Oryctolagus cuniculus: one gene and its partner. The protein of the gene in region 2 purifies or fractionates together with the protein of the main gene of each other region. This does not show direct contact. Links are inferred from orthologs where the notes say so. Each region holds a gene or a part of one and is shown on either strand. Other genes may lie near its edges.

Region 1 (3,515 bases), on a different chromosome or scaffold from region 2:
TGGCGTGTCTCTCACGTACGGACGGCCTGTGTGTACTGTGTGTAGTGCATCTCCAGTAATTGGCTTGACCCTCAGCCCAGCCCTCTGTGTGGGCAGTGGGGTCCTTGCCGGTGTCACAGACATGGAGTCTGAGGACAGAGACGCGGGTGCAGGGCTACACTCGCACGGGTCTGACGCTCAGCCCTGGTGCCAAGCTTCCGGCACAGGCTGTGCCTCTGCCGAGTTCCTGCTGTTCGTGGGCACAGAGTCACATGCTAAATGTCTACCTGGCAATTTTTTCTTAGTTTATTTTTCATTTATTTGAAAGGCAGAGAAACAGAAATCTTCCATCCTCTGGCTCACTCTCCAAACGCCTGCAATCACTGGGGTGGGCTAGGTTGAAACCAGGAGCCAGGACGTCCATCTGCGTCCCCCACAAGCTGTCTCGAAGGTACACATCAGCAGGGGCCTGGATAAAAACCCAGGCTGGGACTTGACCCCGGCACTCCCGACAGGGGACGTGGCTGTCCCAGCTACAGACAACACCCACCGCAGCCATCTTTCCAATGCACAGACAGCCACAGCAGTGACGCTCACAGCCTCTCAGGAGTAACTAAACCTGTCCCGTGTTTGGGCTCACAGTAGTTAAGGAGGTGAAGGTGTCGATGAGGTTGAGGGTCACCAAGCACCCAACCCTCTGTGACAGCTGCCGGCAGCTGAGCCGGGTCCCCGCCAGAGCGCGTGGCCAGCACGCCGACACACACCTGAGGTCCAGGACCTGGCTGGCGACGACCCCGGGCTGGGCAGACTTCCCCTCAGGCAGGTCGTACAGGAAGAGCTTGCAGTCGCACACCACCGCGTACGCCCGCTGCCAGCCCTTCTTCACCCCGCTGGGCTTTGGGACCTGCAGACGCACAGTGACCACGCTTCGCTGGGCCAGGGCAGCGGCAGCGGAGGCCGCAGGGCCAGCTCACCACCTGCCTCTGGCGCTGTGCACGTCCCAGCGGCCAGGGCTGTATCTGGGGAAGGCTCCGCATGTGCGGGTCCACCAGCAGCTGGGCCACAGTGGACAGGAGCCTTGCAGTCCTCCCACCCAACCTGACCCTGGACACCTGGCCAGCCGGGGGGATGGGCCCCCAGTGGGTTCCGGTCCTCAGGACCCCCTGCCTCCCAGGAGCACCCCAGGTCACCTCGCATAGGCACCTCAGTGGGTTCCGGTCCTCAGGACCTCCTGCCCCCAGGAGCACCCCAGGTCACCTCACTCAGGCACCGGCTTCAAGAGCAGTGTGGTGGCCCTCAGCCACTAGCCCGGGACGCTGAGGACTGAGTGGAAGGGGCCACAGACTGGGAGGCTGCAGCCCTCTTACCTTGACGTAGCCCTTGTAGGCTGTTCCTATGCCCCTCTGTACGTCCACGCCAAGAGGCCTCTTGGACTGCTCGGGAGGGATGGGGCACACCTGGGGGGCGCTGTCTCTGCAGGAGACGTGGCACGCAAAGGAACACACTGGGAAGGACAGGAAGGCATGTGACCCTCGGGACGTACCCAGGGCAGCGTCACCACAACCCCAGAAGCCCAGCGATCTAGTGCTGCATGGACGTCCACCTGGCTTATAGGAAGGCGGGGCTTGGCTCGTGGTTACGCCATCCCACACAGGCAGGTCCCCAGTCCCCCAGGGCTGCCGTGCATATAGACCGGGGTCCTGGCAAGCAACCAGTGCTTACAAGTTAAAAGGAAAATGCTCCTGCTACCACACGGAGAACCAAGAAAACCACCAAGGCGGCGTCCACACAGCCCAGGGGCGGCCCCCCGTGTACAGCCTCACCCACAGGGCTGCCAGGCCCACCTGGCCAGTGCACACCCCGTCTCTTCCCTGCTGCTCCAGGCCGGCGGGGAGGCGAGGCCGGACACTCACCCTCGCAGGCGTAGCCCTGGCGAATGAGGCCGACCATCAGGGAGGTGCAGTGGCTGCACTGTGTGGGGCTGGAGAAGGACTTGATGCTGAACTGGTGGGCCTTGGGCTGGAGGAAGAGGGCCAAGAACAGAGGTGAGCACGGCTGAGCAGCACACGGTCCCCTGAGGCCTCGCCACGTGAGCCTGGAACCTCCTAGGGCGTGTAGGCCAGAACACATCCACCTTTGCTCACCTCAGAGACACAGGTGGGCTGAGCCGCGGCCCTGGGAGGCGGGGCTGACCCTGGCATAAGCTCCCCAAGACAGACTATGCTGGGGCCAGACTGTCTCTCCAAGCAGCCCTGCACGGGAGTGCTCCCAACAGGAAAAGCTTGGCAGGCCCCAGCGCCGCAATCCACGGACCAGAGACCAACACAGGGCAGGGCTGAGTCCCACAATGCGCTCAGCATGGCACAGGTGTGGCGAGATCGTCGGGAAGAAGCGAGGAGTGGGTGACCAAGCACCCAGGGAGGGGCGCGGGCAGTGGCTGGGCCGGTCACAGCTGTGCTGGGCGACACCCCAGCAGAGCCACTTCTGGGTATCGAATACGTTCACAAAAGGTAGGACGACCCTCTTAACGCGGTCCCTGACTCTTGAAGGCTCTTAAGGCCAAAAGCCAAAGGTCAGCTCATCTTAAATGAACCCCACTTCTTCCTCAGCGGGAACCGGGCAGACGTCAGGGCCACGCCGACGGCGGCATCAGAGAGTCCTGCCACGTGGGCTCAGAGTCAGTCAGGGGGGCTGGGCACCACTGCGAACTGAGTGCTCTGTGCTGTCTACACCAAACACAAAGGAGGCCATGGAACGCCAGGCCACGACACAAATCAGGGAGGCCTGCCTGTGCCGACGGCAGGGCCAAAACGACAAGGCTCAGAACCATGGAGCGACACCCTCAGCACGAGCACAGGCTGTGTGGACGGCTGTGTGGAGCACAGGTGTGGTGACGCCACCGCAGGCTCCTAGGCCGCCACCAACCCAGACCAGCTCGGCACAGGGCACGAGATCCTACTGTGTCCAGAACGCTGTCTTCTTCACACCAGTTATTTTCCGATCTTTCTGAATGACGCACGAGGCCCTACCTTTGGTCCAGCCAGGGCAAGGGCCGGCGTGGTGGGCAGCGGCACAGCGGGCATCCTCTGTGGCGGTCGCGCCAGGTCCTAGGAGACAGGCAGGAGAGGTGAGCATGCGCACCTTGGCGTAGGACTCCCCTCTCTACAACGGGCTGCTAGCAACATCTGTGCCGAAGGGCGAGGCTCCCGCTGCAGGCTGGGGGACAGGGTCTTTGCTCCCCAAGGCAGCACCGCCTTACCTCCTGCTGCTCGGTGCTGGCGGCCACAGAGGGCGAGGCCTCCGGCTTTGCAGCCTGCGCTTCCTGCTCACTGGCTGAGCTGCTCTGCAAAACGAAGGCGCACAGGGTCCCGTGCAGCCCACACCTGCTCCACTCCCCGGGAGCCTGAGTCCCAGGCCCGCACCCTACCCCCAGCTCTCCCGCCCTGGGCACGCCCATGCAGGGGAGCCAGGACTGGGCCACGTGACCTGATTCTTCCGTGATTTTACCTCAGCCTGGCAGTGTGAGGACGAAGGGG
Region 2 (4,208 bases):
TCATTTCACACTCTCTCTTTGGAAGCAGAGTAGAGGAAAAACAGCTGAGCAGAGCTACAGCCTCAGAAGCTACTCAAACCCCATTCTCTTCCCAGGAGGATTCGGATTCCCTCCTCCTGTCCTTGATAATACATAGACTGCCTATGCTGGGGTCCTGCTGGGGGCAGCCTCCGGCCCCAGGCAAAACGGAACCTGCAGGAAAAGACCCAGCCCCAGCAGGCAGGTTCCACAGGCACAAAAAGTGAGGCGAGGAGAGACAGGGCCTGCTCAAGATCACACAGTGATTCAGAAGCACAGCCAAGACTTGAACCCATGCCTTCCCGCTTCCTGCCTATAGCTGCTTCACACCGGCTCCGCTGTTGGCTCTGCTGTTGCCCTAGCAACAGTTCTTTGGGTGGGAGAACTAAGGAGGGGAGGTTGCATTGTTTCCCATTCCCACGAAACCCAGGGTCTCATTCCAGAGTCTGACTCATTCACTCATTCTACAGCAGAAGAAGGGTAAGAAGAGCCCTAGAGGCAGGACCGACCTTGGCCACAAGGGCAGGACTGCCCCTCCCTGCATGGGAGCCCCAGGGAAGAAGGACAACTGCAGGGCAATTCTTAGAGGGCTTGCACCAGTCTTGCCTCCAGTGGCCCCAGGGAAACCCCTGCCCCACCCCTTGCTCCTCTAGGTCGGAGACTGAGGACTCCAAGCCTGAGGAGGGTGGAGGGAATGCTAGGGCCCCTCTCCTTGTCCTGGCTCAGGAAGGCTCCCTAAGTTGTACCCTTTACATCCAGCCTCATGCCCCAGGCCAGCTGGGTCAAAAATACAGAGAGAGACAATCAGAAGTGAAATGTACCCCTACAGCTTATAAACAGGTGGTCTCCACCGAAGCAGAAGAGAGAGGCAGAAAGACAAGGCGTGGCGCCTCCAGGCTCCTTGTGAGTTCAGGAAGCTCCTGAACCAGCACCTGCAAGTGTATCCGAGGTGGGGGAAATGATGACCACTTTTCTCATTCCAGTGATACAAAACGTATTGTAAAGTGTCCAGCACAGAACAGGTCTCAGTTGTAAAGATGCAAAGTGGTGGTCAGCAGACCTGGGTTCAAATCCTGGCTCTGCTTTTCACTTTTTTCATGACCTTGGGCAGTGAGTTAACCTCTCTGTGCCTGGTGTTACCTGTGTTAGGCAGGTATTCCTTACCTAACAGGGTTGCAAGAGAATATCACATAAAGGGCTGGGCACGATGCCGGCACATACACAGTCAAAGTTCCTTGCAAAGCAGGGCAGTCCAGGTTGTCTCTTTCTAGGCCTTGGGCTAAAGTTTGCACAGTGAGGTCCCCCCCCCCCCCCCAGCATAGCTGGATACAGTCACAGCCCTGCTCTGGGTTTGGCACTTGCCTCCAACCTTCAAGGCCAGGTGCACACTTGGCATCCAAGAACTACCCCCAGGGAGCCTCCCTTGACTGCTCCGCCCATCAAGCTCTCCTCAGAGTCTCTAATTTGGGGCCTGAGCGGGAGCCTCTCTGACCTCCTCCCTTTGCTTCCTCCCAGAACTGGGCACAAAGTGGGGCTCCAGGAAGACTTGGCTGACACACTCACAGTCAGCTCCTGGTCTGGGGCCAGGGAGCAGCGGGCAATTCCTCAGCTCTCCAGAACTGGCTGCAAAGCCGTGGCAGGTGTAAATCACCCCTTCACCGGAACCAGGGCTCTGGGGAGCCACCTAGGGCCCTGGGGAGTCTGTGGGGGGCCCCAGCTGCCCTTTTGGCTCAGAATCTAGACCAGCAGCAACTGGGATAGGGGAGGGCTGCTGCCCTGTGGCCTCTCTTTGCCAAGAAGGTGCGGGGGAGGAGGCTGAGTCGCAGGTGAGGGGACCGAAGCGCCGGCTGCTGTCTCTGCTGAGTCTTGGAACTTTCAAATGCCCACACCAAGTGGGGCTAGGGAACGCGGAGGCGGGGTCTCCAGCGCTCCAGTCCGCTTTCAGCGGCTCTGCCCTTCAGATCTCTTGTGTGCCGAATCCTAGCGAGAACACCCCCCTCCTCACAGGAACCAAGCCCATTCCCAGTTTGCAGGAAGAGAAAGACTGGCTGCCTTGGGATGGGGGCTGGGGGAACGAGTGGCCCCGTACCGGGAGGACGCTGAAGCGTGCTGCGATAGGTTCTCTGAACTTCCCAGCCCCCCCCCCCCCCAATTACTCGGCAGGAAAAACTTCCCAGAGCCTGCGTCTCCCAGCCCTAGTCCTCAGGACGCATCCACAGCGCACTCACCCTCGGGGGACAATTAAAAGGACGTCACCCCACCTCCAGACCGGGCTTTACGACAGATCTGGGAGGGACCCCAAGGAGTTAGGTGGGGACTCTCCAGACCACCTCCGGGGGCGTGAGTCCGTCCCTTCCAGCCCTACGCGGGGGGACTCATCCCGCACACTCACCAGCTCCATCCTCAGCGCCATGATCCTGTCCCCCAGGCCGTGGCCCGTTCCGGGCGACCCCGGGAGCAGCAGGGCGCCAGAGGGTTCCGGCTCCCACTCGCCTCGCAGCCCACGGAGCAGCCCTTCAGGGGTCTTCCTGCCCACCTTGCCCTCCACGTCTCGCAGGTCAGGAGTCTGGGACTCCACCGGCCCCTCCATGCGGGCCCCAAGCGCGAGCGGGGATGGGCGGCCGGACGCTGGGGTCCTGCTCCCGGGGGTCTTTCTGTCGCCCCTGCTAACGCGGAGCGGAACCGGTGGGTCCCCGCCCGGCACTGCGCGGGGGCGGGAGGAGGGCGCCGTAACTCTCAGAAAAGCCGCGCAGAGCCGTGTGAGGCTGTGTCTCCGAGTGCTGCGCACACAACCCCTGGCCCTGCGTGCCGTGAGGCTGGGCGATCCTACGTGCACCCGGAGAGCTCAGCGCCTTCTCCCTACCCCGGCGCTGACTCCAGCTAGGCACGCAACGAGCACCCAAAATAAACGTTTGCTGAATGAAAGCGAAGCCTTAGAGATGTGCGAATTTCAGGAACAGAAGTCTCAGAGAGCTGCACAGAAGGTTTGGAAGGTTTCCTGGAGTAGGCCAGCTGGAACTAAAACGGGCGGGCGGCTAAAATCAAGCTAGCCACCTGCACACACTCCCCGGGAGCTGGAATTCAGACGAAAGGAGTGGATGGCCAGTGAGGAGCAACCAGTACTGAAGCCCCAGGGGCCTGTGCATCACTTGCCAATCTTAAAATGCAGGTTCTGATCCTGTAAATCTGCAGGTGGGGCTGAGATTCTGCTTTTCCAACAGGCTCCCAGGGAATGGTCATGCTGCTTGTGGGTCTGGGGACCACACTTTGAGCAACAGGGCTATAGAAGATGTTTCCAGAGCCAAGGAGGAGCCATGAAAAATTTGGTTTGGTTTTGGCTTTTAACCCAAGCAACTCCAGTCCATGGTTACAGAAGGCTGTACCATGAAGACAGGTGCCCTGGCCCTTCCCTTTCACACCTCCAGGCCCCACTCCCTAGAGGCAACCACTTTTAGTTTTTTTTCCTGGTGTGTACACTCTGAACAACAAATAGGCTAACAGCACCACTTCCTAATTTTAAAAAAAGATTTATTTATTTATTTGAAATACAAAGTTACACACAGAGAGAAATCTTCCATCTGCTGGTTCACTCCCCAGTTGGCCACAACAGCTGGGGCTGGGGACGATCCGTAGCTAAGAGCCAAGAGCTTCTTCTGGGTCTTCCACATAGATGCAGGGGTCCAAAGACTTGGGCTATCTTCTACTGCTTTCTCCCAGGCCATAGCAGAGAGCTGGATTGGAAGTGGAGCAGCTGGGACTTGAATCGGCGCCCATATGGGATGCCGGCACTGCAGACCATGGCTTTACCTGCTATGCCGCAGCACATGGCCCCACCACTTCCTACTTTTAAACATTGTCTATTGGCTTCCTAATGAGATAACTACAGATACCTTTCTCCATGACTACATATTTCCATCATTATTTCTAGTTCATATGATTGTATCCTTTGTAATTTAAGTTTTTCTTAAAGTTTTTTTTTTTTTTTCTGAGAAAGGGGTTTTCTTTTCTCTCTCTTTTTTAAGCATCTATCTATTTGAAAGAGCAATAGAGAGAGGAGGAGAGGCAGAGATCTTCCATCCACTCCATTATGGAATGCACACTGCATCAGAACACCGGTCCCAATGGGAAGGTTTTAAATCAGAGACTGGCAAAACATTTGCCTTTCTGAAAATTTACTTTGCATTTAGCAG

Evidence for each region. Proteins that work in one complex are often made in the same cells at the same time.
Region 1: the proteins of LURAP1 (region 2) and CDC42BPB purify together in Homo sapiens (co-immunoprecipitation; 3 studies listed by BioGRID and IntAct, with this or other methods). This does not show direct contact. The link is inferred for Oryctolagus cuniculus from reciprocal best matches to the Homo sapiens genes LURAP1 and CDC42BPB.

The regions. Positions count from the first base shown.
Region 1 is NC_091451.1:46,025,104-46,028,618, forward strand, and holds part of CDC42BPB (serine/threonine-protein kinase MRCK beta), read right to left. Parts: intron 3,323-3,515; coding exon 3,239-3,322; intron 3,087-3,238; coding exon 3,009-3,086; intron 1,999-3,008; coding exon 1,893-1,998; intron 1,484-1,892; coding exon 1,347-1,483; intron 884-1,346; coding exon 744-883; intron 1-743. UniProt on the Homo sapiens protein: Serine/threonine-protein kinase which is an important downstream effector of CDC42 and plays a role in the regulation of cytoskeleton reorganization and cell migration. Regulates actin cytoskeletal reorganization via phosphorylation of PPP1R12C and MYL9/MLC2.
Region 2 is NC_091438.1:126,551,998-126,556,205, forward strand, and holds the start of LURAP1 (leucine rich adaptor protein 1), read right to left. Parts: upstream 2,803-4,208; 5' UTR 2,609-2,802; coding exon 2,411-2,608; intron 1-2,410. UniProt on the Homo sapiens protein: Acts as an activator of the canonical NF-kappa-B pathway and drive the production of pro-inflammatory cytokines. Promotes the antigen (Ag)-presenting and priming function of dendritic cells via the canonical NF-kappa-B pathway.